3 linked regions of the Callithrix jacchus genome follow. The protein of the gene in region 2 interacts with the protein of the main gene of each other region in a biochemical or structural test. Links are inferred from orthologs where the notes say so. Each region holds a gene or a part of one and is shown on either strand. Other genes may lie near its edges. The genes, in order: CHEK1, MCM7 and DBF4.

Region 1 (10,332 bases), on a different chromosome or scaffold from region 2:
AGGTACCCGCCACCATGCCTGGCTAATTTTTTGTATTTTTAGTTTTACTATGTTGGCCAGGCTGGTCTCAAAGTCCTGACCTTGTGATCCACCTGCCTTGGCCTCCCAAAGTGCTGGGATTACAGGTGTGAGCCACCGTGCTTAGCAAAAACTTCTATAATAAGGAAAATGTCGGTTGAAAAAACAATGTTTGGGAAAAATAGATTAACAAAAGCACATGCTCTAAATGAAAAAGTTACATTCTATTTACAAATGCCACATATATACAAACATAATGGCATTTAAAAAGTCACATAGAAATATTTCCATAGAAAAATACTAAAATAAAACATAAAATTACCTTAGAAAGCCGGAAGTCAACCAGTATCTTATCATCCATTTCTAACAAATTCACTTTGAAAATGAGTTTATTGTTTCTCCTATCAGTTGTTGATATAGTAACCTAAAGCAACAAAAATAAGGTTAAGCCATATAGTATACCCACTATGAAGAACAGAATGGAAGTTCTTCCAAATCTACAAATAAAACTACCTGTAAGATCCAGCAAACCCACTATTGAGATGTTATCCAAAGGAAAGGAAATTATATGGAAGAGACCTTTGCATGCCTATTCACAATAGCCAAAATACAGAATTGGCCTAGGTGCCCAACAACAGATGAGAATAGGCCAGGCACCGTGGCTCATGCCTATATTCCAGTACTTTGGGAGGTCAAAGCAGGAAGACCTGTGAGCCCAGGAGTTCAAGACCAGACTGGGCAACATATCAATATCTCATCTCTACTAAAATTCCAAAAAAATTAGCCAAGCATGGTGGTGCATGGCTGTAGGCCCAGCTACTCAGGGAGGCTGAGGCAGAAGGATCACTTGAGCCCAGGAGGTCGAAGCTGCAGTGAGATATGATTGAGCCACTGCACTCCAGCATGAGCTAGAGTGAGATCCTGTCTCCAAAAAACAAAACAAAAAGTCAAGCAAACAGATGAGGATAATATGATATACATACACAATGAAATACTACTCAGCCATATAAAGAAATGAAATCCTGTCATTTGCAGCAACATGGGTGGAACTGGAGGACATTATGTTAACTGAAATAAACCGGGAACAGAAAATTAAACATCACATGTTCTCACTCATATGTGGAAACAAAAAAACAGTTGTAAACAATAACCAAGAGAGTTGGTAGCTGGGTATGGTAGTATGTCCCTGCAGTCCCACCTACTTGGGAGCCCAAGGCAGGAAGGTCACTTGAGCCCAGGAGTTTGAAGCTGTGGTGCACTATAATTGTGCCTATAAATAACCACAACACTCTAGCCTGGGCAACATAGTGAGACTCCATCTAAACAAATGAAAATACGCAGAAGATAGCCGGTGAACTGGTGTGGCTATACTGATACTAGACAAAATAGACTGATGAAAACTGTCAATTTAGCTAGGCATGGTGGTGCACACCAGTAGTCCCCACTACTCAGGAGGATCACTTGAGCCCAGAAGGTCAAGGTCAGCCTCATCAACACAGAGAGAATACATCTCTACAGAAACATTTTTAAAAAGCTGGGTATGTAGTGAACACCTGTAGTCCCAGCTACTTAGGAGGCTGAGGTGGGAGGATCACTTGGGCACAGGAGGCCAAGGTATTAATACACCATATTAATAAAGGGGGAAAAAATCCACGATTATCTCAATAGATGGAGAAAACATCTGAAAAAAATCTAATACTCTTTCATCATAAAAACTAAAACCCCACAGCTAACATCATACTTAATGTGGAAAGACTCAAAACTTTCCCCTAAGATCAAGAACAAGACAAAGATGTCCACTCTCACTATTTCTGCTCAACGTAATGTTGGAAGTCCTATCTAGAACAACTGAACAAGAAAAAGAATTAAAAGGCATCCAGATCACAAGAAAAAAAAGGTAAAACAATTTACTGTTTTAATATATCAAAAATAATCTTCATATATATATAAACCAAAAGAATTTGCAAAAAAAAAACTACTGGAGTTAATAAATGAGTTTGGCAAATTTTCAGGATACAAGATCAATATACAAAATTTATTTGCAAATATACTAGCAATGAACAATTTGAAAATAAAATTGAAAGAAATTCCATTTACATCAGCATCAGGATTAAAAAAAAGAATAAACAGGATTACATTTAACCTAGGAAGTGCAAGACTTGAACATTGAAAACTATAAAATATTCTTGAAAGAAATTAAAGACCCTAAAAAATTAAAAATGTCCCATGTTATTGGATTGGAAGATTAAGGTTTAGCATCCATAATCTAAAATCTGAAATCTAAAATGTTCCAAACTCCAAAACTATTAGGGTGCTAACATGATGCCATGAATGAAAAACTTCACACCTGATAAGTTTGCCTTCTGATAGTACAATGTACACTTTGTTTCTTGCACAAAATTACTTAAAACATTGTATAAAATTGCCTTCAGGCTATTTGTATAATATATGTACAAAGCATAAATAAAATTCATGCTTCATCTTGAGTCCCATCCACAAGTTATCTCAATGTATATGCAAATATTCCAAATCCAAACGAAGGTAAAATCCACAAAACTTTTTTTCCCAAGGACCTTGAATAAGGAAGACTCAATCTGTACTAAAATGGAAGTATTCCCCAAGTATATCTATAGATTCAATGTAATCTCTTTTAAAATTCCAAATTTTTTTCTTGCAGAAACAAATCAGATGATCCTAAAAGTCAGATAGAAAAACAAAGGGCCACAAATAACCAAAATACCTTGAAAAAAAAAAAAAACTTGGGCAACTCATACTTTTTTTTTTTTTTTTGAGACAGAGTTTCACTCTTGTTACCCAGGCTGGAGTGCAATGGCGCAATCTCGGCTCACCGCAACCTCCGCCTCCTGGGTTCAGGCAATTCTCCTGCCTCAGCCTCCCGAGTAGCTGGGATCACAGGCATGCGCCACCATGCCCAGCTAATTTTTTGTATTTTAGTAAAGACAGGGTTTCACCATGTTGACCAGGATGGTCTTAATCTCTTGACCTCATGATCCACCCGCCTTGGCCTTCCAAAGTGCAGGGATTATAGGCGTGAGCCACCGTGCCCAGCCAACTCATACTTTCTAATTTCAGAACTCACTACAAAGCTACAGTAAACAAAATAATATGGTAATGGCACAGCACAGACATATAGATGAAACAAAGAACTGAGGCCACAGGGGGAGGAAAAAGAAAAGAAAAAAAAATTGAGTCCAGAAATAAACCTACACATTTATCACCAATTATTTTCAACAAAGGTTCCAAGACTATCCAATTGGAAAAGATGTCTTCAACAAATGGTGCTGTAAAAACTGAATATTCACATACAAACATTTGAATTTGGACCTTAATTCATACCATATACAAATATTAACTCAAAAAGGACAAAGACCTAAATATAAGAGCTAAACTTTAAGACTGTAGTCCCAGCTCCTTAGGAGGCTGGGACATCTAAAAGAAAGCATAAAGTATAAATCTTTATAATCTTATATTAAGTAACAGTTTCTTAAATTTGACACTAAAACATAGGCAACAAAAGAAAAATTATAGATCCACTGGAATTCATCAAAATTTAAAACTTGTGTACATCAAAGGACACTAACAAAAAAACGAAAAGAATGGAGGAATTTTCTCCCACAGAATGGGAGAAAATATTTGCAAATCAGGTATCTGACAAGGTTCCGGTGTCCAGAATGTACAAAGTACTCTAACAACAATAAAAAGAATCCAGTTAAAATATGGACAAAAGATCTGAATAGACACTGTTATAAAGAAATGGTCAATAAGCATATAAGAATATGCTCAAGATCATTAGTCATTAGAGAAATGAAAATCAAAAGCAAAATGAGATAACACTTCACACATACTAGGATTGTTATAGTAGAAAGCGGGGGCAGTAAGTGTTGGCAAGGATGAAGAGAAATTAGAACTCTCATACATTATTGGTGGGAATGTAAAATGGTACAGGTGCTTTGGAAAAATCACTTCACAGTTTCACAAAAAATTAAATGAAGAGTTACCATATGTTCCAACAATTCTACTCCTCCATATATGTCTAAGAAACTGAAAACATATGGTGACACAAAAACTTGTACAAGATTGTTCGTAGCAGTATTATTCATAATGACCAAAAAGTAGAAACAACCCAAATGTCCATCAACGGATGAATGGATAAACAAAATGTAGTACATACACACAATGGAATATTACTCAGCCATAAAAAGGAACAGCCAGGTGCAGTGGCTCACGCCTATAATCCAAGCAACCTTGTGAGGCTGAAGAGGGCAGACTGCCTAAACTCGGGAGTCTGAGACCAGCCTGGACAACACGGTAAAAACCTGTCTTTACTAAAATACAAAAATTAGCCAGGTGTGTGGGAGGTTGAGGCAGGAAAACTGCTTGAACCTGGGAGGCAGAGGGTGCTGTGAGCCAAGATCACAGCACTCCAACCTAGGCAACAGAGCAAGACTCTGTCTCCAAAATAAAAAGGAATAAAGTACTGATCAATGCCATGAACCTTGAAAACCTTATGCTAAATGAAAGTAGACAGACCTAAAGGACTACATGCTATAAGATTCCATTTATGTAAAATGTTCAAAAAAAGGCAATCCCTAAAGAGAGAAGGTAGATTCCAGGTAGCCTAGGAATGGAGGAATAAAGAATAAGGAGTGACTACTAGGTACAAAGGTTTTTTTTTTGCTTTTTTTTCCCCCCTGTGGATGCAATGTTCTGAAATTAGACAGGGGTGATGATTGTACAACCTTGTGAATATACTAAAAATCACTGCATTAAAAATTTTAAAACGGTTAAAGTCATGATTTTTATATTATGCAAATTTTATCTCTATGAGTCTAACTGAAAAAGAGTGAATCACCTATAGGTGAGAGGAATATCAGGCTGGCCTCAGATTTCTACACAGTAACAGTTTCCCTTTTTAATTTTGAAAACTCAAATCTATAGAAAACTGAAAGAAGAGTACAATAAATAACCATATAGTCTTCACTGGTCTTATCTATCAAGATGTGTGTGCTTGTCTTTATGTAGCTGTTTACCCTTCTTTCTTTTAAAGTTTAAACTGAATGAAGATATCACTTCACTTTAACTTTCCTTCAATATGTTTCTCTTTTGAACAAGGATATACTCCTACAAAACGCAGTATTATCACACCCAAGAAATCTGATGCTAATACAGAAACATTACCTAACATACAGTCCGTATTCAAATTTCCCCAATTGTTCCAACAATATCTGTTATTTTTTTTTTTTTTTCAAATACATGATCTAGTGAAAGATCATGCATTGCACTTAGTTATCAGGAGGCCTCTTTAGTCTCCTTCAATATAAAACAGCTGGCCTATTTGTCTTTCGTGATGTTAACATTTTTCTGAAAAGCTTTAAAGACAGTTTAGAATACCAATATTTATGCTCTAATAATATAAACAATAAAAACTGACAGCTGCAATAATGGGAGATGGGAAAAAGTATGGGACTGCTAATGTATTTGACTTTCAGGGTAGGCAGTCAACTGTTACTGTCTACAGTTTAAGCATATACAATTTTAAAGAAAATAATGATTCCAGCTACCTAATATTTTTAATAACACTAAAAAGGCCTTTTAAGAAATATTATTTCTTAGACCAGGCATAGTGGCTAAAAAAGAAAAAAATATACATTATTTCTTAAGGTAAAGAATATTTTACTAGTTTATTTTTCAAATTAACTAATTACTATATATTTCTAAGTGTGTTTGTTTGAGACAGAATCTCACTCTCACCCAGGCTGGAGTGCAGTGGTGTGATCTCGGCTCAGTGCAACTTCTGTCTTATGGGTTTCAAGTGATTCTCCTGCCTTAGCCTCCCCAGAAGCTGAGATTAGAGGCATGTACCACCATACTGAATAATTTTTGTATTTTTAGTAGAGACAGGGTTTCATCATGTTGGCCAGGCTAGTCTTAAACTCCTAACCTCAGGTGAGCCACCTACCCTGGCCTCCCAAAGAGTTGGGATTACAGGCGGGAGCCACCATGCCCAGCTTGTATTTTAAAAATATACAAATGATAGTTTTTACTTGAATATTTAATTTTTTTTTTTGAGACAGTCTCACTCTTATTACCCAGGCTGGAGTACAATGGCATGATCTCGGCTCACCACAACCTCCTCCTCCCAGGTTCAAGTGATTCTCTTGCCCTAGCCTTCCAAGTAGCTGGGATTATAGGCATGTGCCACCACATCCGGCTAATTTTTTATATTTTTAGTAGAGATGGGGATTCTCCATGTTGGTTAGGCTGGTCTCGAACCAGGTGATCCACCTGCCTCGGCCTCCCAGTCTCCAAAGTGCTGGGATTACAGGCATGAGCCACTGTGCCCGGCCTATTTAAATTTTTCTTCAGGAAAAGTTATAATGAAAATCAATGAAACACACCTGATTCATACAACTCTTCTTCCACTGATAGCCCAACTTCTCACAAGTCTCTTTCAGGCTTTGATAAGATTTGTCTGCATCCAATTTGGTAAAGAATCGTGTCATTCTTTTGACCAACCGCTGCCAGGGGTTCTATATATCAAACAGAAGACAACTAAATAAATCCATTATGACTAAAGACAGTAAGATCATAGCCATTTAGTCTGACTTAAAATTCTTTTGCATTAAGGATTCCCTCCCCTTTCTTCTTTAACCAAAAAAAAAAACCATGTGATTTAAAAGTTATATATCTTAAGATTTTCACAATAAAAAGGGACTTTAAGACAATAACAAATAAAGAGCTGCCATTATTTATTTAAAAAATTAAATTCCCTCACCTGTGAAGATCCTGGGGTGCCAAGTAACTGACTATTCAGAAGCATATGATCAGGACATGTGGGCTGGGAAAAGCTGATCCCTTGTACCAATTTATCAATGTATGAGGGACTGGTATCCCATAAGGAATGACCTGTACGTGGTTCTGGCTGAGAACTAGAGTACTTCACATTTTCTTCACTGAGGCATTAGGACAGAAGGAAATATACATTTAATAAAATAAAATCTATCATGCCTTTCTTACATCACACAAACACTCTCACACAGTATTATGTCCATTGTTGATTATTATAAAAAAATACATATATGTATTATTCTTCATGGGGAATACTACAATCAAAAACGACTTAATCTTTATCAGTCTTACCAAGAAGCACTGTTTACTGGAGAGAAGTCCAAATTGGATTGAATGTGCTTAGAGAAGCCACTGGGAGACTCTGACATACCACCTGAAGTGACTCGGGGCCTTTTTGCCCCTAAAAAAGAAAAAAAATACAAATGCTTTCAAGTCTTCTATGCAAATGTGTTTTTAAGTTAGCCCAACTGGTAACTTGAAGAAGTAAAACTCTTTCTAAATCTATTTATTTAACACAAAATATTTACAAGATATAAAACAAAGTCTTCCTATATGACTTTATAAAAAATGTGGTCAAGTTATTAAATTACTAAGATTCACTTGTCAAATTAGGTATTTCACAATACCGAAGTATGACCTGTAGGCGTGTTCCAAGTGTGAAGTATGCTCAGGCCACAATCTTAATGGCATCTTTTGTGGGTAACAGAAAAATGTTCCATGAAAACGACAGACCTGGCTAAAGGACTAGAACTTTTAAAAATAAAAAAAATGTATGATAATAACAATAAATATTATGAATCTTCTCTAGCCAACATTCTTTGATTCTTTACAATGAAGATTATACTCAAAATGACGCCACTATAAATTTATGGTTACAATCCCTAGCCGAACCTCAATATTGCCAGATAATTCTATTTCCTTCTCTAGTTAGTTTCCTTTCCTTTTCTCCACAAGGATCATTTCAAAACTACACTTCTGTGTAATTTCCAAGACTACTGTCCAGTACCTAAACTACCACCTCCCATTTCAGAGAGAAAATAAAGCCATTAGACAGAAACTACATCAACTTGTCCGCAGCAAATCTGCTAAGTTACTTGTATTACTACACATCCTTTCATTCCTTCCATTCTCCTATGGAATGTTCATCACTCTACTCGTGTTCCAGAGCCCATATCCTTCTACCTCCTGAGGGATCTTGATCCTCTGTTATTCATTCCCTTTCTCTTAGACTGTCAGCCTCTTCCTCTCTACAGGATCTGTACCCAAACCACTTAAACATGCTAAAATTTTTTTTAAACCTGCTTTTTATTTATTAATCCATTCATTCAAATATTTTATTAGATCTACTCTGTGCCAGGCATTATTCTAGGTATTAGGTATTCAGCAGTGAGCAAAACAGAAAAAAAACCCTTGACCTCTTAAATCCTACATTCTATTGAGGAGAGACAAAATAACATAAAATAAATTTAAATAAAATTAAAAATCAATAAGCTAAATGTACAATGGAGGAAAATAAAATGAAGAAATGTGTTGGACTGCATATGTCCACAAGATAGTAAAAACTTTAAAAATTTAAGAAATGTATTAGAAAGAAGAGGATAGTTTTAAATGGCATGGCCAGGAAAGGCTTATTGAAAAGATGACACTGAAGTCAATATCCAAAGAAAGTGAGAAAATAAGACACGCATCTAAGTTCCATGGGAAAAAGCATTTCCAGGCATAGGGAACATTCATTACAAAAACAGTGAGGTAGAAGTGTGCCTAGAGTTTTTGGAGAACGAGAAGACCACCATAGCTATGACCAAGGGGGAGCAAAGCAGAAGTGAAGTTGGAGAGGTAATGTAAGGGACAAAACTGGGTAAGAACTCACAGGTCATGAACTGATTTTAGCTTATACCATTGGTGAGAACTAAAGCATTGGAGGATTTAGGTAGAACAATGAGATATTCTAATTTATTTTTAAATCAGAACACTCTGGAAAGATATCATAGTAGTATGGAATGACAGGGTAGCAGTAGAGGTGAAAAAAGGTAATCGGATTCTAGAATTTTTTTTAAGATAGAGGTTAACAATTACCTGGTGGACTGGGTGTCAAGTAAAAGAGAATGAGAAAAATGAAGGATGACTCAAGGTTTCTGATCTGCATAATAAGAATAATGCAGTTGCCGTTAACCAACATGGAAAAGACTTAGAAAAGAAATGGGTTTGAAACGAAAAGATCAGTAACAGTTTGGAACTCATCAAGTTTGAGATGCTTAACATTCAAGCGAAATTTGAGAGGGCAGTTAAGACATACAAGTTCGGAATTCAGAAGAAAGGTCTAGGTTGATATAAATGTGACTATCAACATATAGTTTTTTTCAGAGCCACAAAACCAAATACTACTACTAAGGGAGTGGGTGTGGAGAAAACAAAGGAAATCCATAGATTCAGCCCTGGAGAACTCCAGTAGTAGAAGGCTGAGCAAATGAAAGAAAACCATCCAAAGAGACTGAAAAGGAGCAACCAGTGAGAAGCACAAACATCAGAAGAGTAGAATGGCTGGAAGCCAAATGAAGAAAGTGTTTAAAGGAGGAGGGCATGATCAACTGTAAAAAATACTGACGAGATAAAACAAGATGTCTGAGAACTGACTACAGTAGTCCCCCTTATCCACAGATGATATGTTCAAGTGGATGCCTGAAAGTACAAATGGTATCAAACCCTACATATGTTCTTTGGATCTAATAACCAAATTAGCTACTAAATGAGTTACAAGCAGGTAGCACATAGAACATGAATATACTAGAAAAAGGAATGATTCACATCCCAGGTGAGATGAAGCAGGACAGCACGAGATTTTATCATGCTACTCAGAATAGCAAACAATTTAAAACCTATGGTAGGGCATTGTGGCTCATGCCCATAATCCCAGCACTTTGGGAGACTCAGGTGGGTCGATTGCTTGAATCCAGGAGTTTAAGACTAGCCTGAGCAACATGGCGAGACCTTATCTCTACCAAAAATACAAAAATTAGCTGGGCACAATGGCTCACACCTGTAGTCCCAGCTACTCAGGGGGCTGAGATGGGAGGATCATTTAAGACCAGCAAGTAGAGGTTGCAGTAAGCCAAGACCATGCCACTGCACTCCAGTCTGCGTGACAGAGTGAGACTCTGTCTCAAATTAAATAAATAAATAAAATCAATCTATGAATTGTTTACTTCCAGAATTTTCCATTTATTCTTTTCAGACCTCAGGTGACCACAGGTAAGGATGGACTATTACACTGAACTTGGCAACATGTTCCAAAAATCACTGTGACTTGGTAACAAAAACTCAAAATTAGTTTTGAAGTGTTAGAAATGAGAAGCAATTTTAGAAATGCTCAATTTTGAAGAAAATGGATTGGTAGAGAAAAGAGGGGTTAAGAGAAATTTTATTACCATTATGATCTGATTTTTA
Region 2 (10,432 bases):
GGACCCTGACTATTTTCAGGCTCTGGACGTGTCAGAAGCAGGAAGTGGTGGTGTGAAAATACCCTAAGACTAAAGCCTTTTGAGGAGGCTTGCATGGCCCATGCTGACAATGTGTGCCCATCTGCACCCAGCTCTCCTACCTCATGAGCTTCATGTCCAGAGGTTCAAACTGGGAGGGGGGCTGCCGGCTGTGCTGGTGCACATAGGTGATGTGCTGGGCCAACCTGGATAGAGGGGAGGTGAGGAGGAACACCCTTTATAGGGCTACATACCCATGTCCTCTTAGGTATCCCTCCCTTGGCTCCACCCATCTCATGGTATAGCAGGAACAAGCTTTCCTGGGAAATCCTCATTAGCATTTCAGCCCCAACCCACCATTTTCCTGAGAACCTTGGACCAGTCCCTGACACAAGGAGGAGGTTCTGGGATTTCCAGGAGCTGGGTATTTATTTTGATTCACCCCCGGCCCCTGCCACAGATCATTACAGGGGACCTCTCTTTGGGTGTTGAGCTTCATTCACCGTAGGTCATTGTCACGGTCAGGCCGGTCCTGAATCAGCCAGAGGAGGTCAAACCGGGAAAGCAGTGCAGCAGGCAGCTGTATGTTCTGCTCCAGGCTGCGGCGAGGGTTGTATCGACCATAGGCAGGGTTGGCAGCAGCCAGGATAGAGCAGCGGGCATTGAGTGTGGTGAGGATGCCAGCCTTGGCGATAGAAATGGTCTGCTGTTCCATGACCTCGTGGATGGCTGTTCGGTCGGCCTCAGCCATCTTGTCAAACTCATCAATGCAGCACACGCCCTGGTCAGCCAGCACCAGGGCTCCACCCTCTAAAGTCAGTTCTCCACTCACGGAGTCTCTCAGCACAGCTGCTGTAAGTCCCACTCCTGAGGAGCCCCGGCCTGTTGTGTACTGGCCTGGAAGAGAAGAAATAAGGAGCCATGTTAGGAGATAGAAAGGAACGAGAGAGAGAGCAAGCAAAAGACAAGAAATGAGCCAGAGAGGGGGGGCTGCGCTGGGATTGTTCCACCTGCCCCAGGCCTTCCCCGGGATGCCCAAGGTTCTGTGGGGCGCTGAGGCAGGAGAATCACTTGAATTCAGCAGGTGGAGGTTGCAGTGAGCTGAGACCACGCCACTGTACTCCAGCCTGGGCGACAAAGTGAGACTGTCTCAAAACAAAAACAAACAAACAAAAATAATAATAATAAAAAAAAGCCCTTTTTAGTAGAGACGGGGTCTCACTATGGTGCCCAGGCTGGTCTCAAACTCTTGGCCCCAAATGATTCTCCTGTCTCAGCCTGAGAGCACTGAGATTACAGGTGTAAGCCACTATGCACCCCCACTTTTTGAATAAACCCTGTGGTCCTGTCTGTCACTATGTTCACCCCTCTCAAAGTCCAACTACTTACTGCGGGGGGCCAGGCGATCGATATATGACAGAAGCTGAGACTTGGCCACACCAGGATCCCCCATCAGACAGATGTTGATGTTGCCTAGAGGAAGACAGGCAGCCCAGGAATGACTCTTCTCCCAGTGCAAGTTGGCCAACAGCAGAGCAATTTTGAATTCTGCCTCCCCCAACACCTAGCATTACTTCTAAGCCCTCCCTGTGTCCATGAATCGAAGACGCCCACTCTTATACTGTGACCTATGGGGACACTTGTCATCCTTTTTTCCTCCCAAATGACTTCATCTACCCTGAGCCTTGCCCTTTTTTCTTCTTACCCCTGATTTTCATGCCTCGAGGAGACTGGTCCACACCCCCCACTAGCAGGAGCAGCAGTGCCTTCTTCACATCTTCATGCCCATATATCTCTGGGGCAATTGAAGCTGCCAGCTTTTCGTAAAAATCCTCCTCTGTGGAGAATTTTAAGGTTAAGGTATTTTGTGGGGGAAAATGGGGGGGTAGGATGTAAACGGAATTTCCTCTCTCTCCTGAGCATCACCTGCAATCTGCCTCAGCTCCTCCCTGCTGAGCTCTCCAGCCCCAGACTCATCATCCTCACTCTTGTTCATCTTCACAATCCGATGGGCTTCCAGGTAGGTTTCTGAGAGTAAACCCTTAGGCAGGAAAATGTCAGGATACAGATGCAATCCTTAGAACTTACCCATCACCAGATTCCCTAACAATTTCTTGATAAAGCACTGTGTTGTTTTGTTTGGTGCTTTGCTACTCACTTTTCTCTGTATGGGTACAGTGGGTGAGGGGAAATGGGATGATCTGTTCCTCATATCAAACTCCCTTCCTTACCTGTACCACCTGTCGGAACCCAGTGCGCAAGACTGGCAGGAAGATACCAGTGACACTGACATGGTCTCCAGGCTGGGCGATCCTTGTGTTCTCTCCTTCTACCAGCACTGTGATACTACGAGGGATATTTCCCACGGGTACTTGGTCACTCTAGGGGAGGGAAGAGCACATAAGGCTCAGGAGAAATAAACAAGGACCCAACCTTCCCTCCCTAGGCATCCCACGCCAAGACTCCCTGCCTGCCCAGCCACAGATAAGCCCACAGGACGGAAGCTGAGACTGCCTTTCTCCCCTTGCCAAGGCTCTCAAGAAACCCCAGTTCCACCTCACTCCTGCACTTCCCTCTTTTGTTCTTCTTGCCATTCCACCAGTGACTACAGGATTCAAGTGGACTCCTGATCCACCTGCCCAGGGCCACATACCCCAAACTCACATGTTCTTGCATCTTCATCTCCTGGAATTTGATGAATTTGGAGCCCCGTGTCTGCAGATACAGCCGCCCTCCTGAGCGGTTGGTTTGGCACTCCTGGCTTGGGCACATGATCAGAGGCATGAAAGTGGGAGACTGAATCTAGGATTGAGAACAGAAACACCAAAGGAAGTCAGAAGAAAAACAGCCCCATCTCGGTCTCTTGAATCATGTTTTCTCTTCATGGCAGACATCTTCTGAATCAAGAACTCTTTGAGCTTATTCTAGACAACAGAAGACACCCAGAAAATAGAAAGACCACTACATACCCAAGAATGAAAAGTGAACACATAGGTAGCTTTTACAACCAGAAAAAACGATAGGCATCATGGATCATATCAATTTCTATAAAATGACTAAGTGTGAAGTGCTTTCCTGCTCCTTCCTCCACACGTACCGGCTGGTAGGTCTCTGCCCCGCACTGGTCACAAGTGTAAGTGGCCACTACCATCTTGGGTTTGACTTCAGAGACACGGGTGACGATTCCACGCACAGTCACCAATTTCCCCACAGAGTCAGCTCGCACATCCCGGATCACACGAGGCTTGTTGCTGCTTGGGCCTTGAAAATACAGCTCACTAAGAGGAGAAAACAGTCACAAACAAGATCCTGGAGTCACAAACCAATCCCTACATCCTTCCCAACAGAGACCACTCACAATCTGCGCATGAGTTCAGCGGGATACTGGTTCTGGGGGCTTCGGGCCATCCCAGGGTCCCGAGTCCGCTGCTCCATCATAAGCCGATGTTCAATATAAACATCCAGGACATCTTTATTTACCACCTAAAGGAGAAGAGCAGAAAAAAATGAGTAACAGGATGGGGAAAGGAGAGCACAGACAATGCCAGGCAGAAGTGCCCCTGCTTTCTGCCTGGCTCCGAAAACATCAGTATCTGAGAAGCTTCTTAACAGAAGCTGAAACGCCTTGCCCTGCATTGTTCTCCAGTCACTCACCTCCCTCTCCTTGTACTGAGGCAGCAGCTCTTGTACCGCATCAGCAAACAGCTTTGCGTAGCGCCTGGCATTCTCACAAATTGAGTCCACCAACTCAGGGTCATCCTCAGCTACATCATCCAGGTCCACGTACAGAGCCACCTGTTCCCTATGAGCCAGCCGAACCTCAGGTGGGAAAGAGACAGCAACACCTCAGAGCCATGTTCACTTGTTCAGTGTTCACGTGTGAAGATGCATCACTGAGAGCTCAGCACGGGCTCTGGGCATCCACAGGGGAGAACATAGCACCTCAGAGAGCACACTCACTTCTCAGCCCCCAAACTCTCTAATTATTATGAAAATACTATAGCATCACATTCTCTTACCAGATATCAAATGCCCTGATAAACATGTCAGAAAAACATCCTTGATGAAACAAGCCGCTTCTTAGGACTTCTTAAAACCCGACTCCTCATTCTCTTTACCCAATCTTAGACTCACCAATTGGTTCCCATACTTGAACTGCTTCTTCCCAAGTTCATCATCCTGGTAGAACTCTTGTAAGAACTTCTTAACCTTTTCTGTAACGTAAAAGGTAAAATCATAAGACACAAACTTTATATTACTGCCCATCCCTCTGACAGAAATCTAAGACGCCTATTTTCACTTAAAACACGATTTATGAACTAGTTAACGATATGAGCATTTAAATAAACCTACCGAATTCTCCCCAAAATGGGTATAACTCTTTTTCACAAGTTTGTTTTTAATCAGCGAAGAATAAAGAGGTCGTGGCAGTTCACAGGATGATCCAACATCGTCTTCCCAGGGGAATTCCGGTCCCTACTTTAAAACCCTAGCGCCCTTCCTCATCGGCGCCCCACACTCCGATCTCAAGGTTCTCAGCCTTCCTTCCACCCCTATGATCCCCCACCTTCTTTGGGCCCCTGAGCCCCTGATCTCGCCAGGACCTCCGCCATCAGGCGGGTCGCGCACCCCACCCCCGCTCCCGCCAGCGCTTCCGCTCTTAGTAAACAAAGAAGCACATGGGACCGGATTCCAGCCGCCTCACAGCCCGGGATTCCTCCGCCCAGGGCGGGAGCCCATCCAGCCATTGGACAACACGCCTGGGGCCGCCGCGATCCCAGCCCACTACCGCCTTTCCGGGGCACGAGCGAAGCTCCCGGTTCCCAGGCACGCCCCCTCCCCTGGGCCACAGCTCTCTCCGAGGCCGCTGCGCGGAAGGACACTGTTTACACGACACTCCCTCCATCCGCGTCGCGCCACTTCCGCCCGGCTCCACTTCCGCTTGGAGGGCGGCCTCAAACGGCCAATCCTGGTGCGTAGCGGCCCGGCCTGCCCGCCCCCAGGGCCTCCGCGCGCCTCGGGAGGACGCGGGAACTGGGGAATGCCCAAAAGCGCGGAGGAAAGCAGGCCCGGAACCCCAGAGTCCTTAGGGTACTCCGAGGTCTTGGGCGCGATTCTCCCCTATGCAGCACCCCCCCAGCCAGGTTAGCGCCCCCAAGCCCCCAACTCCATGACCCTAACACCTTTACTACGTGGGATTACCAGCTTTTCTTCAACATGGATGCCACCTGCGCCTCGTGGGCCTCAGCCGGGCGGCCGCCCGACCCTGCCTCTAGCCTTGTGGTCCCCAGAACTTGCTGATCCCGGCTCCACAAGACCCCAGCTCACACCAATAGGTGTTCCCCGGGAGGCTCCCCGCGCAGGACGCCCTCCCAGGCTCGTAGAGCAGTACCTTTCTCGATCGCGTAGTCCTTCAGTGCCATCACTACCGAGGCCCGTACGGCAGCGCTTGGCGGACTCAGAGGTCTGGGTCCCGGGCAAGCGGAGAACGTCCGCGCGGTGGACTGTGGCTGACCAACCGAAATTGGCGCGAAACGTCGCCCCCACGTGACCGGCGCCACTGCCTGCCGGCCAATTGCAGAGGCCGGCCCTCTCCCCGCCTCCAGCTAGCCTCAAGCCAATCACCAGGAGGACCTGGAATGAGTGACGGGGAGGCGGTGTGGGCGTCGGGAGGGAATCGCCGAGCTAGGCTGGGCGGGCGTCTGGTTTCCCGCGGTCCGAGCTGGCTTAGGCGGAGCAGAATCGCTCTTAAAGGGCCAGCGCACGCGTGTTCCTTTGTTCCGGGGCCTCAGGGCGGGGCAGGCCCAACTTTCGCCGTCTTCTCGTTTACTCTCCAGAACGGCCATGATTTCCCAGTTCTTCATTCTGTCCTCCAAGGGGGACCCGCTCATCTACAAAGACTGTATCCTAGACCCGCGGGGCTGGGAAGGGGCGGAGGTGTCGGGCGGGAGGGGCGCCCGGGGCCAGCCCGTGTCGCAGGCTTCTTCACTGAGTTCTTCCACCCGCCAGTCCGTGGGGACAGTGGCGGCCGGGATGTGGCCGAGCTCTTCTACCGGAAGCTGACGGGACTGCCAGGAGACGAGTCCCCGGTTGTCATGGTAACCACTGGCGGGAGGCGGGTGGGGAGCAGGGAGCCGGCGCCCACCTGGCCCGCCGGCTCCCTCCCAGGGCTGATTCCTTGGTAGCTTCCACTTGGGATGGGGTGCATTCTTCCATATAAAACTAACAAGAGGCCCGGTGTCTCATGCCTGTAATCCCAGCACTTTGGGAGGCCGAGGGGGGCGGATCACCTGAGGTCAGGAGTTCGAAACCAGCCTGGCCAACCTGGTGAAACCCCCGCCTCTACTAAAAATACAAAAAAATTAGCCAGGCCTAGTGGTGAGCGCCTGTAATCCCAGCTACTAGGGAGGCTGAGCCAGGAGACTCGCTTGAACCCGTGAGGCAGAGGCTGCAGTGAGCCGAGATCGCCACACTGCACTCCAGCTTGGGTGACAGAGCAAGACTACATCGGGCAGGGGTCGGGGGGGGGGGGACGTTGGGACAAAAAAAACTTACATCAGGTGGCAGCAAAACACCAGGCCCAGCTCCCTTTATGACTCCATCCTCAGCAACTAGGTGTAGCTACTGTAATTAACCCCGTTTCCACATTGGGAAGCTGGGTTCAGGAACCTGTCATGTATCTCCCGAAGTCACTGCTACTGTGACTAGTAAGAGGCATCGGGATCCGAGCTCAGGTCTCCTGGGTTCTGATCACCCCAGCTCCTTTTTCCTAATGCTACTCTACCTGCCTGTGTCTCAGCATCACGAGGGCCGTCATTTCATTCACATCAGACACAGCGGCCTCTATTTGGTGGTCACAACTTCAGAAAACGTTTCTCCCTTCGGCCTCCTAGAACTGCTCTCCAGGTGAGGAGGGCTGGGCTGGACACCTGGTAGCTAGTGGGGGTCTAAGAGGAGGAGGAAATGCATACTCCCAAGTGTTTCTTCAGGTTGGCCACCCTTCTGGGCGATTACTGTGGCGCCCTGGGTGAGGGGACCATCTCCCGCAACGTGGCTGTGGTCTACGAGCTCCTGGATGAAGTGCTGGTGAGAATCAATGATCCCCTTCTGTGCCCGCCCCCCAATTCCCCTGGAGATACTTCTGCTCTTCTACTGCGGGATGCTGTGGTTGGGAGACCAAGTCTACTCCTTTTTTTTTTACCTTTTAGAGATAGGGTCTTTGCTCTGTCACCCAGGCTGGAGTGCAGTGGTGCAGTCATAGCTCACTGTAACCTGGAACTCCTGGGCTCAAGTAATCCTCCTGCCCCAGCCTCCCCTGTGCCCAACTAATTGTTTATTTTTTATGGAGACAGGAGTCTCTGGCGCCCAGGCTGGAGTGCAGTGGCTGGATCTCTGGTCACCGCAACCTCTGCCTCTTGAGTTCAAGTGATTCTTCTGCCTCAGCCTCCTGAGTAGCTGGGACTACAGGCACATGCCACCTGCCTGGCTAATTTTTTGTATTTTTAGTAGAAATGGGGTTTCACTATGTTGGTCAGGCTGGTCTGGAACTCCTGACCTCATGATCCACCTGCCTTGGCCTCACAAAGTGCTGGGATTACAGGGGTGAGCCACTGCACCCGGCCCCCACTTCACCTTTTTTACCCCTTCCCTCCACTGACTTCTCAGACTGTCCTTCTTTTACGCTAGGATTATGGCTACGTACAGACCACATCTATGGAGATGCTGAGGAATTTCATCCAGACGGAAGCTGTGGTCAGCAAGCCCTTCAGCCTCTTTGACCTCAGCAGTGTTGGCTTGGTCAGCAGAGAAAAAGAGGAGGGTGAGGAAGGAGAAGGGGTGTTGCCTGGGGTTGTCAGACCTGAGGATTGATTGCTTTGGATACTTTACAGTTTGGGGCTGAGACACAACAGAGCAAAGTGGCCCCCAGCAGTGCAGCCAGCCGCCCCATTCTGTCCAGTCGCTCTGACCAGGTGAGAGAGGGATCCATGGGGTCCAACCTTGTGGTTTTGCTCTGGGACCCCAGAGTCCAAGATTTTAGGTTGGGCACAGTGGTTCATGTCTGTAATCCCAGCATTTGGGGAGGCTGAGGTAGGCAGATCACCTGACATCAGGAGTTTGAGAGCAGCCTGGTCAACATGGTGAAACCCCATCTCTACTAAAAATGCAAAAATTAAAAAAAAAAAAGATCTTGGTACGTTTTCCACCTCTCCTAGATGTGGGTATCCCTTCTGGCACCTGTGTCCCTACCCTAGAGCTGTAGCTTTGACCATTCTTCTGTTCTTTCTTCTGTCTGTCCACTTCAGAACATAGACTGTTCTGCTTCCAACGACCCAAATCCTCTCTCTTTCTCAGAGCCAGAAGAATGAAGTTTTTTTGGATGTGGTTGAGAGATTATCTGTACTGATAGCATCTAATGTAAGTTTGAGCTCCCATCCCTTGAGCTGAGGACAAATGAGATTTGGGACACATGTTGGGGTGGCTAAGACTCCAGCAATGGCTGGGCACGGTGGCTCATGCTTATAATCCCAGTGCTTTGGGAGGCAGAGATGGGATAATTACTTGGGGCCAGGAATTTGAAACCAGCCTGGGCAACATAGCCAGATCCTGACTCTACAAAATACAAAAAAATTACCCAGGCATGGTAGTGTACACCTGCTGTCCCAGCTACTTGGGAGGCTGAGGCAGGATGATCGCTTGAGCCCAGGAGATTGAGGCCTCAGTGAGCCAGGATGGCACCAAAGCACTCTAGCCTGGGTGAGAGAGCAAGACGCTGTCTCTTTAAAGAAAGAAGTCAGCACGGTGGCTCATGCCTGTAATCCCAGCGGTTTGAGAGGCCGAGGCTGGTGGATCACTTGAGGTCAGGAGTTTGAGACCAGCTTGGCCAACATGATGAAACTCCATCTCTACTGAAAAGACAAATTTAGCCAAGCGTGCTTGCAGGCACCTGTAATCCCAGCTAGTTGGGAGGCTGTGAGGAGAACCGATTGAACCTGGTAGGCAGAGGTTGCAGTGAGCTGAGATTGCACCATTGCATTCCAGCCTGGGTGACAGACCAAGAGTCTGTCTCAAAAAAAAAAAAAAAAGAAAAATTCCAACCTTGACCTCTGCCTCTCAGGGCTCCCTACTGAAGGTGGATGTGCAGGGAGAGATTCGGCTCAAGAGCTTCCTTCCCAGTGGCTCTGGTGAGGCATCTGCAGGCAGGACCCAGGGTTGGGGTTGGGGCAGGTTCCTTGATGTTTTACACCGTGGAGTTTGCGAGCTCTCCTAATGTTCTTTCCTCTGCCAGAGATGCGCATTGGCTTGACGGAAGAGTTTTGTGTGGGGAAGTCAGAGCTGAGAGGTGAGGAGAAAGGGTCTGTCTCTCTCTGGGGTAGGTCTCTCATTGCCAGAGAGTTCATGGAGAGAAGTCAGAGACGGATCTTCCCCCTCCTTTCTCCCTCTCCCAAAAGGAGTCAGGAGAGAAGTCTCTCTTTCCAGGTTATGGGCCAGGAATCCGGGTCGATGAAGTCTCATTTCACAGCTCCGTTAATCTGGACGAGTTTGAGTCTCATCGAATCATCCGCTTGCAGCCACCTCAGGGCGAGGTCAGGATTGGGGTAGCCCTGTAAATTCTGTCCACCATGGGGAAGGGGGCAGTGTGGGGTTGAGGAGACCAAACTGACCCTGTTGCTCTCTGGTCTCTCAGCTGACTGTGATGCGGTACCAACTCTCCGATGACCTCCTCTCACCACTCCCCTTCCGGCTCTTCCCCTCTGTACAGTGGGACCGAGGCTCAGGCCGGTGAGACCATTTCCTGGGTTCCAGAAGTACCTTGGAGCCCAAGAGAGGATGTGTATGTTCCCAACACTCACTGCAGAGTGGGGGTGGTGGTAGAGGTGATGAAGTGCAGATTGGAAAAAGGCTTGGGCTGGGCATGGTGGCTCATGCCTGTAATCCCAGCACTTTGGGAGGCTGAGGTTGGAGGATCACTTGAGCCCAGGAGTTCCAGACCAGCCTGGGCAACATAGTGAGACCCAGTCTCTTCAAAAAAAAAAAAAAAGGAAAAAGCTTTGGCTAATGGAGTTGGGCTGGGCTTCAGCTCTTTGGGGTACAGCCCACACAGCCCTGCACAGAGCCCCCTGGTGGGGAATGGTGAGATGCCAGTAAGAGATGGCCCGAGTCATGGTGTTTTATTCTCTCGTCCAGGCTCCAGGTTTACCTGAAGTTACGATGTGACCTGCCCTTGAAGAGGTAAGAGTGGAGGCCAGTGAGGCCGAGTTCAGCTCTGTGGGATAAGAGACAGGGCCAGGACATCTGCTGCTACTCTCTTCAGATGCACCTGCCAGCCTCAGAATCCAGTTTAGGTAGAGGCTGTAGCATTTGGGAAGATGGGGGGCAACTGTGCTGAAATCCCATTGTGACATTGAAGGGGAAC
Region 3 (10,332 bases), on a different chromosome or scaffold from region 2:
GGCATAAAAATAGGCTCCTGCTCAACTCATTGGGAGGCTGAGACAGGAGAATTACTTGAAACCAGGAAGCAGAGATTGCTTCAGCCTGGTTGACGAAGCAAGGCTCCATCTCAAAAAACAAAAAGACTTTTTAAAAACGTATTTCACTACCTACCTTTTCATTATTGGTTGATTTCTTTTTAAGAAGTCCAAATCAATTATAGTTAGAATGCATGGTACTTGGGTGTATGTATTGTAAAACAGTTTTAGTTACTGAATTCTACTCTAGTGGTTACAATCTTTAGTTCTTGAAGGATTGTTGTTTAATGTCTGAGGTTTTTTTTTTAACAAAGCAAGAATAATCCTTGATATAGTACTTTTCTGCATGATTTTTTTTATCTTGAGGATATTGAGCAGTTGGATTTGCTCTTTTAACTGTCCTTTAAAACCCAATCTTTTCGCTATTTTTTTTAGGGGAAAAGAGTTGGTACCGGTGCACAAAAAACAAGAAGTAAGTATCTTGATATTTTTAAGTATATTTGCTTTGCTTTTGAAAAATCATAAAAGATCTTCTAAACTCATGTAAACCACCCTCTAAATGATTTATTCAGGGCTTTCTTGGTCTTTTTTAGAATGTAGATCCTTAGTGAAGTTTGGTGAAGCCTGTGGACCACATTCTCAGAATAGTGTTTAAAAATTTCTTTTTAATCATTAGACTACCAAGAAAATGAATTACATTAAAATTTAGTTATGAAAATGGTTTTTAATTATGAAAGAGTGATAACTTGCTTTTTTTTTTTTGGACGGAGTTTTGCTCTTATGTCCCAGGCTATAGTGCAGTGGCGCAATCTCGGCTCACTTCAACCCTCCCCCTTCCGGGTTCAAGCGATTCTCCTGCCTCAGCCTCCCAAGTAGCTGGGATTATAGGCAGGTGCCACCATGCCCAGCTAATTTTTTGTACTTTTAGTAGAGACAGGGTTTCTCCATGTTGGTCAGGCTGGTCTCAAACTCCCAACCTCAGGTGATTCGCCCACCTCAGCCTCCCAAAGTGCTGGGATTACAGGCATGAGCCACTGTACCCAACCTTGCTTTTTATTACATAGAACAGATTATAGCAGTGAATCTAATTGCTACTGTCATTTGAATTAATAAGCATAAAAAATGCTTTGCGATGTCTGTTTAGTTCATAACTGATATGAAAATTTGGGCTGTTTCTATTAGTACCAAAGTTGCTTTTTTTGAGAGGGAGTCTTGCTCTGTTGCCAGCCTGGAGTGCAGTGGCACAATCTCAGCTTACTGCAACCTTCACCTCCCAGGTTCAAGCGATTCTCCTGCCTCAGCCTCCCGAATAGCTGGGATTACCCGCATCCACCACCATACCAGCTCATTTTTGTGTTTTTAGTAGAGACGCGGTTTCACCATGTTGGGCAGGATGGTCTCAATCTCCTGACCTTGTGATTCACTCTCCTCGGCCTCCCAAAGTGCTGGGATTACAGGCGTGAGCCACCACGCCCAGTGATTTGTCACATTTATAACTGGAGGAAATGCTAAATTTCAGTTTGTGGTCAGTGAAAATAATAGTGTAGTTTTTCTCCTGTTCTAATTTATGACCCTCCTGAATCGTATTCATATGAGGGTTTCATTTAGTTTAAGACTCTGAGAACATAGAGAGATCTTCTGTTATTTTTGGACATGAGGTGGTAATGGAAGTACCTCATCTGAGGCTTACAACTTTAAAATGGATATATAGATTTTTTGTTTGGGAGGGTTTTGTTTTGCCATAATTGCTTTATTTTTTAAAATTCCTGTATTTGCAAGTAACTAATATGTTTTTTATATTCTTAAGCAGGAAGACTCAAAAAGCCTTTTGTAAAAGTAGAAGATATCAGCCAGTAAGTATCTTAAGTCCAGTCTGTGTGATTTAAGTGCAGAACTAAAGGGGAAGATTACCTAACTAATTAGGCTAGCTCGATTACTACTGTTAGGTTCCTTTGTGTTTGATTTATATTATACTAAAGTGCCTGCGGCACAAGTTATCTAACGTAGCATGAATTCATTTGTGCTGAAAGACTAAATTTGGTTTCAGTATGTTGTGGATGTCTCTGAAATAGCTGGCTTAGAAAAATCATGATGACATTTTTTAGTATTTAAAGTAATTCTATGGCTAAATGCAGTACCAATACTTAAAGATTACTCCTGCATTTGTGAAAAAGAAATTATTAGATGCTATTTAGAAATAGAAAATCTAAGTATAACATCTAACACAGTTGATTTCCAAAACTCACTCTGAAGTATTTTAGGATAATCTTGTTGTTGTTCGTTTTGATTTTTGGAGATGGAGTCTCACTCTGTCACCCAGGCTGGAGTCCAGTAGCATAATTCATTGCAGCCTCTGCCCCAACAAGTTCAAGCAATTTTCCTGCTTCCACCTCCCAGGTAGCTGGGATTACAGGTGCATACCACCATGCCCAACTAATTTTTGTATTTTTAGTAGAAATGAGGTTTCACCATGTTGCCCAGGCTGGTCTCTAACTCCTGATCTCATGTGACCCTCCAGCCTCAGCCTCCCAAAGTGCCGGGATTACAGGTGTGAGCCACCATGCCCAGCCATATAGGATAATCTTAATGAAGACTGTAGATATAAATAGGCCTGCTGTGAGAGAATTAGGTTACTTTCTTTTTTCTTTCCATTTACTTATTTAGATGTGTGGTTAATTCTCTTGGGTACTCACACTGAGGTTACAAAAATTGTACTGAAAGCTGCTTTTTATGAAATGTGTTGCTATGAAGAAAAAGTGCAATTGAAAAGGAGGCCTAGAGAAGACACTAGTACACAAAAGGATATCCCATGTTCATGAACTGGAAGACATAATATTTTTAAGATGTTAATATCACCCAAAGTGACCTGCAGATTCAGTGCATTCCCTGTCAAAAATCAAAAGATGTTTTTTGCAGAAATAATAAAAATGTTTCCTAGAATTCATATGGAATCACAACAGATGTCACATACCCAAGACAGTCGTTAAAAAGAACAGCAAAGTAGGACTTACACAATTCCTGACTTCAAAACTTACTATAATGCTATAGTAATCAGAACAATTTGGTACTGGAATAAAGACATATAAACCAATGGAATAGAATAGAGAGACTATAAATAAGCCATCACACCTATGGGAAAATGATTTTCAGCAATGGTAGGAAGATCATCTAATGGAGAAAGGACAGTCTTTTTAACAGTGTTGAGAAAACTAGATATACACATGCAAAAGAATGGCATTAGACTCCTACCTTACATCATATGCAAAAATTAACTCAAAATGGACCAAAGACCTAAAATGATAAAACTCTTGGAAGAGAACATAGGGGAAAAACTTCATGGCATTGGATTTTTAGTGCTTTATTGGATATGACACCAAAAATACAGACAAAAGGTAAAGTAATCAAATTGGTCTATATCAAAAATACAAAATTTCTGTGCCTAAAGAGATATAACAGTAAAAAGGCAACCCAAAGAATGGAAGACGATACTGCAAATCATATATCTTTTTTTTTTTCAGCTTTTTCAGGTTGAAGAAGTCATATATCTAATAAAGGTGTTAATATTTGGAATATATAAAGAATTACAACTCAACAACATAAAACAACCCAATTTTTAAAATGAGCAAAGTACTGAATAGACATTTCTCCAGAGATGATATTCAAATAGCCAATAAGCTTATGAAAAGATGCTCAATATTGCTAATCATTAGGGAATTGCAAATCTAAACTACAATGAGATACCACTTTACATTATTTACGATGGCTCCTATTAAAAAGTCCACAGCAGCCAAAAAGTGAAAGTTAACCAAGCCCATCAGCAAAGAAATAGATAAACAATATGTGGAATATGTGTGCACACAGTCAATGGAATATTACTCATCCTTAAAAAGGAAAGAAATTCTGACACATGCAACATGGATAAACCTTTGGACATTATGCTAAGTGAAATAAGAGGAAAAATACTACATAATCCCACTCATGAAGCACCTACATTAGTCAAATAAATAGCAGGAAGTAGAATGGTGGTTGTTAGGAGCTACAGAGAAAAAGGATGGTTGGGAAGTTACTGTTTGATGGGAACAGAGTTTCAGATTTTGCAAGATGAAAATACATCATCATGCAAAAGATGACCAATAGCAGTGATGGTACCCCACAGCATTATGAATACTTAATCCTACTGAATTGTACACTTAAAATAGTTAAGGTAGTAAATTTTATGTGTATTTTGTCACAGTTTTAAAAATGTGTAAATGTTAAAAATATTAGGCCTAGAAATTGGATTTTTGAAGGGGGAAGCCTAAATGATTTCTGTTGTTTATTTCAGATTCCACTGAATGAGGTGATTTTGAAATATAAAACTTTAAAATTTGTTTTCTTTCATCATAAAGAATCTCATGTATTTTGTCTATTTTTTTTTAGACTTTATAGGCCATTTTATCTTCAGCTGACCAATATGCCTTTTATAAATTATTCTATTCCGAAGCCCTGCTGTCCATTTGATGTAGAAAAGCCATCTAGTATGCAAAAGCAAACTCAGGTGAAACTAAGGTTTGTTTGAATCTTTACTTCTAGATGGAATATTCAGAATGTCATCTCAATTGTTCTTTATAAAGATTTGAAATAGTTTGGTTTATGCCATAGTGGTTGTTTGTGTTTGTAATTACTATTCTGATTACTTTTCCCTCTGTATATTTTTAATCTCTCTACACTAGATTTGAATTCTGAATCTGTTTAGATGGAGGTAGGGAGGGCCTTAAAATATTTGTAAATAATGAAAATGTGTAGTTTATCTTGAATGACTGAAATATTCTCAAACTATTTTTTAAATCTTAGTTTGCTTCTTAACATATTATAAAGAAATATGATTAAAAGTACTTGCTGATATAAGTCTCTGTAAATTATGCAGATTCTGTGTGTGATAGTTTAGGACAAAAATTTTTAAAAGTTATTCCTTAGGTTAAGCAGTTAATTCTTTACCATGTATTTCTGTCATCAGAATCCAAACGGATGGCGATAAATATGGTGGAACCTCAGTTCAACTCCAGTTGAAAGAGAAGAAGAAAAAAGGATATTGTGAATGTTGCTTGCAGAAATATGAGGATCTAGAAACTGTAAATGTGATTTTATATTTTAGGAACTTGTTTCAAAAACTGTAATACTTGTGTTTTAAATTTTAGCTTGTTCTGATGGAGATTTTTTACATTTTAAGAACTCAAGGGGGAAATGAGTATTGAAAATTACTTTTACTCAACAAATACTTACTAAGTACTACATACTGATCACCACTCTGGGCAAGCAGCATTGAACAAAACAGACTTAATTTCTTACCCTTGTGAAGATTATATTCTGTGGGATGAGGATTGGGTAGTGGTGGAGATAATAAAAAGGATAGAGAGAATATTAGATCAGTGCTATGAAAAAACATAACATAGGAATGGGCATGTTGGTATTTAACCTAGACAAGGAACACCTAACTGATGAGGTGACATTTGAGATCTGAGAGAAGTGAAGTAATGAGACCTGGATAGTGAGATAAAGAAGTGCAAAAGTCCCAATTTAAAATGATTGATGAGATCAAGGAATAGATATTGATGGTCCAAACTAAGTCGTAGTAGAAATGCTGAAACATGGTCAGATTGTGAATATGTTTTAAAGGTGGGACCAAGAAGATTTGCCAATGGATTGGATGTTGCAAGCAAGGGAAAATGGTAGTCCAATGGTTACTATAGGATTTTGAACCTGAGCAATTTTTTAAAAAGCCTCATTTATAATGAGAAGAGGAGTTGAAAGAAGTAAAGACAGTTCATTGAGGTAGGAGAAAGAAATGGAAGAGTTGGAAAGAGTATATAGGATGAGGATGGGGAAAATACTATAGTTTGTAAACTGATTAAAAGAGCAGCACCTATGGATTCAAGCTGCCCAGGTTTGAATGCTGGCTTCTTGTCTATGTGACCTTGGACAGTGTTTGGCACATAGTAAGTGCTTATTGTTAGCTGTTACTTGAATTTTTTAAGTAGTAGATAGGTTTGTTTTGGTGTTTGGTTTGGTTTTGGTAAAAGATGGAGGGAAACTTAAGGAGAAAGAATAATACTTGAACATACCTGTCTTCAGACTCTGAATTGAAGTTTGTTTTATAAACCAAAATATATTAGCGTTTTGTGGTAGTTTTTGTTTTTTTGTAATAAATGAGAAAACTATAGTTAGTCTAAAATTGCTTTTAATCAGAAGCTAAAGTATCTCAGAAATATTTTCCCTTCCTGAAAATCATTTTGAAAATTAAAATTACGTGTTGGTCCAGAAGTTTTACTTTGCTGGTATAGCAACAAAATAACCCGGGAGGCGGAGGTTGCGGTGAGCCGAGATCGCGCCATTGCACTCGAGCCTGGGTAACAAGAGCGAAACTCCGTCTCAAAAAAAAAAAAAAAAAAATCTGGAATGGATACTTAATTTGGTGCTCAGAAAATGTCGAGGCTGAAAAATGAAAAAAAATGTTCACTGGTTGCCACAAAGAAGGAAAATTAGTGAACACAGAGGTTGGGATTGAAATTTAAGATCATGTTTTTACAGTTTTCATTTGTATGTTTCTAAGCTGCCAAGAGTAAAGAAATTTTTTTTGAACGTTAGGTTTCACAGTGATTCAATTAACAAATACGTTTGAATACTGGAGATAAAGTAACAAATAAGGTGACATCCCTACCCTTATACACCTTATGGTCTGGCAAAGTACATAGATAGAAAATACGAATTTGCAAATGTGATGACTGTCACAAAAGTAAAGTATGAAGTGCAATGGGAATAAATAATGAGGTTACTTAAAGCAGAATGAGGGTCCCAAAAGGCCCAACTGAGCACAAGTGACTTCTAAATTAAGACTTTAAGGATGAATAAGAAGAACTTAATGGAAATTAGAGGGAACTAAATAAAAGTTGGAAATTTTCCTTCCTAGAACATTGGTAGACTGAATCAGAGCTTACAAATGTGATGTTTCCTTTTAAACTTAAATAATTGCTCATTTTTATTGCTGGGCATATATAATTTGTGTATGGTAAAGCTTGCAAGTAAGGAAGAAATACATGGGTGTTCTAGGATGCATTGTGTTTTTTTGAGACCAGTGGAGATGTTTTTAGAATTGTAATCAAATCATCAAAATGTAAAACTGCATGAAACTAGGGATACAGAAATTAGATCTTTCCTGATCATCTGGAGGCAAGCTTCTAAGTACAATTCCCTGATCAGCTGATAGACAAATGATAGAGTTGGGCTGGAGATTCCACCTATTCGAAAGGAACTTTGTTCCTATGAATTTTATCTCTCACTATGCTGTGAACATGTTTACTTTTGTTTTTTACCTTTTTTTTTTTTTTTTTGAAATGGAGTCTTGCTCTCTCACCTAGGCTGGAGTACAGTGGTGTAGTCTCAGCTCACTGTAACCTCTGCCTCCCAGGTTCCAGAGGTTCTCCTGCCTCAGCACCCCCAGTAGCTGGGAATACAGGCATGGGCTAATTTTTGTATTTTTATTAGTGACTGGATTTCACCATGTTGGCCAGGCTGGGGTCTCAAACTCTTGACTTCAAGTGATCTGCCCTTTTCGGCCTCCCAGAGTGCTGGGATCACAGGCGTGAGCCACCGCGCCTGGCAGTTTTGGTTCTTAAGAATAAGAGAATAACTTCTGTATACTCTGTTATGAGCACTGGGTAATTGAAATCATTTGTTTTGTTGTTCATTTTCAAATGTGTTCTTTAATTATGAATCTTGGCTTTTTTAATACTTCATAGTACTTAATGTGGTTCCTGTGTTTAATCTACTTTCTGGATTCTTGTATGTTAACTTATATGTAATTAATTTTCTATAAGTCCTGCCTTACTTAGTGGTAACTGCCTAAAGACAAAGTAATAGAGGGAAGTGTGTTTTCCAAAATGTTACTGTTGTGTCTCTCCATCTGTATCTTCCTTTTTCTTTGAGATGGAGTCTCACTCTGTTGCCCTGGCTAGAGTGCAGTGGTGCCATCTCAGCTCACTGCAACCTCTGCCTCCAGGGTTTAAGCGTTTCCCCTGCCTCAGCCTTGTGAGTAGCTGGTACTACAGGCACGTGCCCCCCACACCTGGCTGATTTTTTTTTTTTTTTAGTAGAGGCGGGGTTTCACCATGTTGGCCAAGCTGGTCTTGAACTCCTGACCTCTGGTGATTTGCTAGCCTCGGCCTCCCAAAGTGCTGGGATTACAGGCATGAGCCACTGTGCCCAACCTGTGTTTTTGTTTTCTGACATAGTTCATTCTTTTTAGTTCCATTGTAGCTACAAATTAGTACTTGTCTTTTCTCACTGAAGACTAAAAACCAAAGTAGTTTTACTGGTTTCTCAGAAGTGACTTTTATTTTAAACATCTTTTGAAGTCAGTAAAGATATTATCTTTGGAGTAGTTATTGGAAACCTAATTTTAGGGGCATGAGAATGTTAAAAAACCTTAATAAAATGGCATCTCTTGGTTTTAAAATACAATTTTTTAATACATGTTTTTAATTTTGTTTTAGCACCTTCTAAGTGAGCAACACAGAAACTTTGCACAGAGTAACCGGTATCAAGTTGTTGATGATATTGTATCTAAGTTAGTTTTTGACTTTGTGGAATATGAAAAGGACACACCTAAAAAGAAAAGGTAATTAGTGCTATCAACCTAAATTTTAAATTATAGTAGAAGGCTGGGCGTGGTGGCTTATGCTTGTAATCCCAGCACTTTGGGAGGATCACCTGAGGTCAGGAGTTGGAGACCAGCCTGGCCAACATGGCGAAACCCTGTCTCTACTTAAAAAAAAAAAAAATACAGAAATTAGCCGGGTGTGGTGGTGCACACCTGTAATCCCAGCTACTTGGGAGGCTGAGGCAGGATAATCCCTTGAATCTGGGAGGTAGAGGTTGCAGTGCTCCAGCCTGGGTGATAGTGAGACTCCATCTCAAAAATAAATACATACATAAATAAAACAAATTATACTAGAATATTAAACTATTTTATTAAACTAAAAATAAACACAGTATGCCTGTTCTTAGAAGGAATATGTATTTTCAGGATGTAAATATGGTTAAAAACCAGTAACTTCTTCCCTTCCCTTTTTCCCTACTATCAAAGATGCTTACCTTAGACTACTTTTACTTCCATTGTTTTTAAGTTTTCTTTTTATCTAAAATTTTTTCTTTTTTAAATTTTTTGTTTAATTTTGAGACAGAGTCTCGCTGTATCACCCAGGCTGGACTGCTGTTGCATTCTCTCGGCTCACTGCAACTTCTGCCTCTGAGGTACAAGAGATTCTCGTGTCTCAACCTCTTGAGTAATTGGGTTTACAGGCATATGCCACTACACCCCACTAATTAGTCTCATTCTTGACATTGTAGTTTAGAAGGAGTTGATGGACTTTTCCCATAAAGAGCCAGATATTTGATATTTTAGGTTTTGTGAGCCATAAGATCTCTGTTGCAACTAATTAGCTTCTTTATTTTACAATGGATATGGCTGTATTTTGATACAATTTTATTTGGAAAAATAGACTGTAGTCTAGATTTTGGCAACAGACTATATAGTTCATCAACTCCTGTTATAGAACCATAAAGTTTAACGTTTATTCGGACTAAAAAGTTTTATCAAACTTTTAGGTAATATTAAGGAGTTTTAAGAAACCTTCCTCCACTTGCCTCTTAGGTCTTTATACTTTCACGAAATATCTTTACCTAACCCTTATGATGGGTATATTTACTGAAGATACCGACAGGACTTTTAAGTGTGAATACAGTACTGCCCAGTGTACCCTGACTGTGTGTGGACAAAAATTATCCTGATCAGATTATTCCCATAAACTTACAAAGAAATGCTTTTGTATGAATATACCCTAGAGGTGGTGATAACTCATTAAGTTAGTCTTTATTTTTAGAGTACTCTTACTTAAGGCATAAAGAAGATTAGAAATGTGATACCCAGATACAGCTTCTGAAAATTAACTAGAAAGTTTTTTGACTTCAGGTAGAAGAGTTCTTAAATCCCAAATTTCTGTGACATTCAGAATAGTTTCATGACTGACTTAATATGGATTTGAAGAGGAGGTATATTTCCAACTATTAAAACTATGTGAGCTGTGGCTGGGCGCGGTGGCTCACACCTGTAGTCCCAGCGCTTTGAGAGGCTGAAGCAGGCAGATCACTTGAAGCCAGGAGTTCCAGACCAGCCTGGCCATCATGGTGAAAGCCCATTTCTACTGAAAAAAAATTAGTGGTGACACATGCTTGTAATCCCAGCTATTCAGGAGTCTGAGGCACAAAAATCACTTGAAC

The links.
Region 1: the proteins of MCM7 (region 2) and CHEK1 form a complex in vitro, tested with the Homo sapiens proteins (2 studies listed by BioGRID, with this or other methods). The link is inferred for Callithrix jacchus from reciprocal best matches to the Homo sapiens genes MCM7 and CHEK1.
Region 3: of the proteins of MCM7 (region 2) and DBF4, one has a biochemical effect on the other in vitro, tested with the Homo sapiens proteins (2 studies listed by BioGRID). The link is inferred for Callithrix jacchus from reciprocal best matches to the Homo sapiens genes MCM7 and DBF4.

The regions. Positions count from the first base shown.
Region 1 is NC_133511.1:25,251,720-25,262,051, reverse strand, and holds part of CHEK1 (serine/threonine-protein kinase Chk1), read right to left. Parts: intron 7,289-10,332; coding exon 7,180-7,288; intron 6,993-7,179; coding exon 6,815-6,992; intron 6,570-6,814; coding exon 6,438-6,569; intron 443-6,437; coding exon 341-442; intron 1-340. UniProt on the Homo sapiens protein: Serine/threonine-protein kinase which is required for checkpoint-mediated cell cycle arrest and activation of DNA repair in response to the presence of DNA damage or unreplicated DNA.
Region 2 is NC_133503.1:13,479,370-13,489,801, reverse strand, and holds the start of MCM7 (DNA replication licensing factor MCM7), read right to left. Parts: upstream 5,539-10,432; 5' UTR 5,442-5,538; coding exon 5,411-5,441; intron 5,163-5,410; exon of another isoform or gene 4,984-5,162; intron 4,688-4,983; exon of another isoform or gene 4,372-4,687; intron 4,233-4,371; coding exon 4,153-4,232; intron 3,838-4,152; coding exon 3,673-3,837; exon of another isoform or gene 3,669-3,672; intron 3,502-3,668; coding exon 3,377-3,501; intron 3,297-3,376; coding exon 3,116-3,296; intron 2,821-3,115; coding exon 2,683-2,820; intron 2,400-2,682; coding exon 2,250-2,399; intron 2,060-2,249; coding exon 1,945-2,059; intron 1,856-1,944; coding exon 1,724-1,855; intron 1,492-1,723; coding exon 1,408-1,491; intron 916-1,407; coding exon 522-915; intron 225-521; coding exon 141-224; intron 1-140. Other genes in the region: AP4M1 (AP-4 complex subunit mu-1), read left to right, coding at 5,863-5,920, 6,028-6,116, 6,818-6,924, 7,008-7,104, 7,705-7,815, 7,908-7,988, 8,371-8,433, 9,134-9,200 and 4 more. UniProt on the Homo sapiens protein: Acts as a component of the MCM2-7 complex (MCM complex) which is the replicative helicase essential for 'once per cell cycle' DNA replication initiation and elongation in eukaryotic cells.
Region 3 is NC_133512.1:61,833,987-61,844,318, reverse strand, and holds part of DBF4 (protein DBF4 homolog A), read left to right. Parts: intron 1-453; coding exon 454-490; intron 491-1,825; coding exon 1,826-1,871; intron 1,872-4,437; coding exon 4,438-4,566; intron 4,567-5,014; coding exon 5,015-5,129; intron 5,130-8,546; coding exon 8,547-8,671; intron 8,672-10,332. UniProt on the Homo sapiens protein: Regulatory subunit for CDC7 which activates its kinase activity thereby playing a central role in DNA replication and cell proliferation. Required for progression of S phase.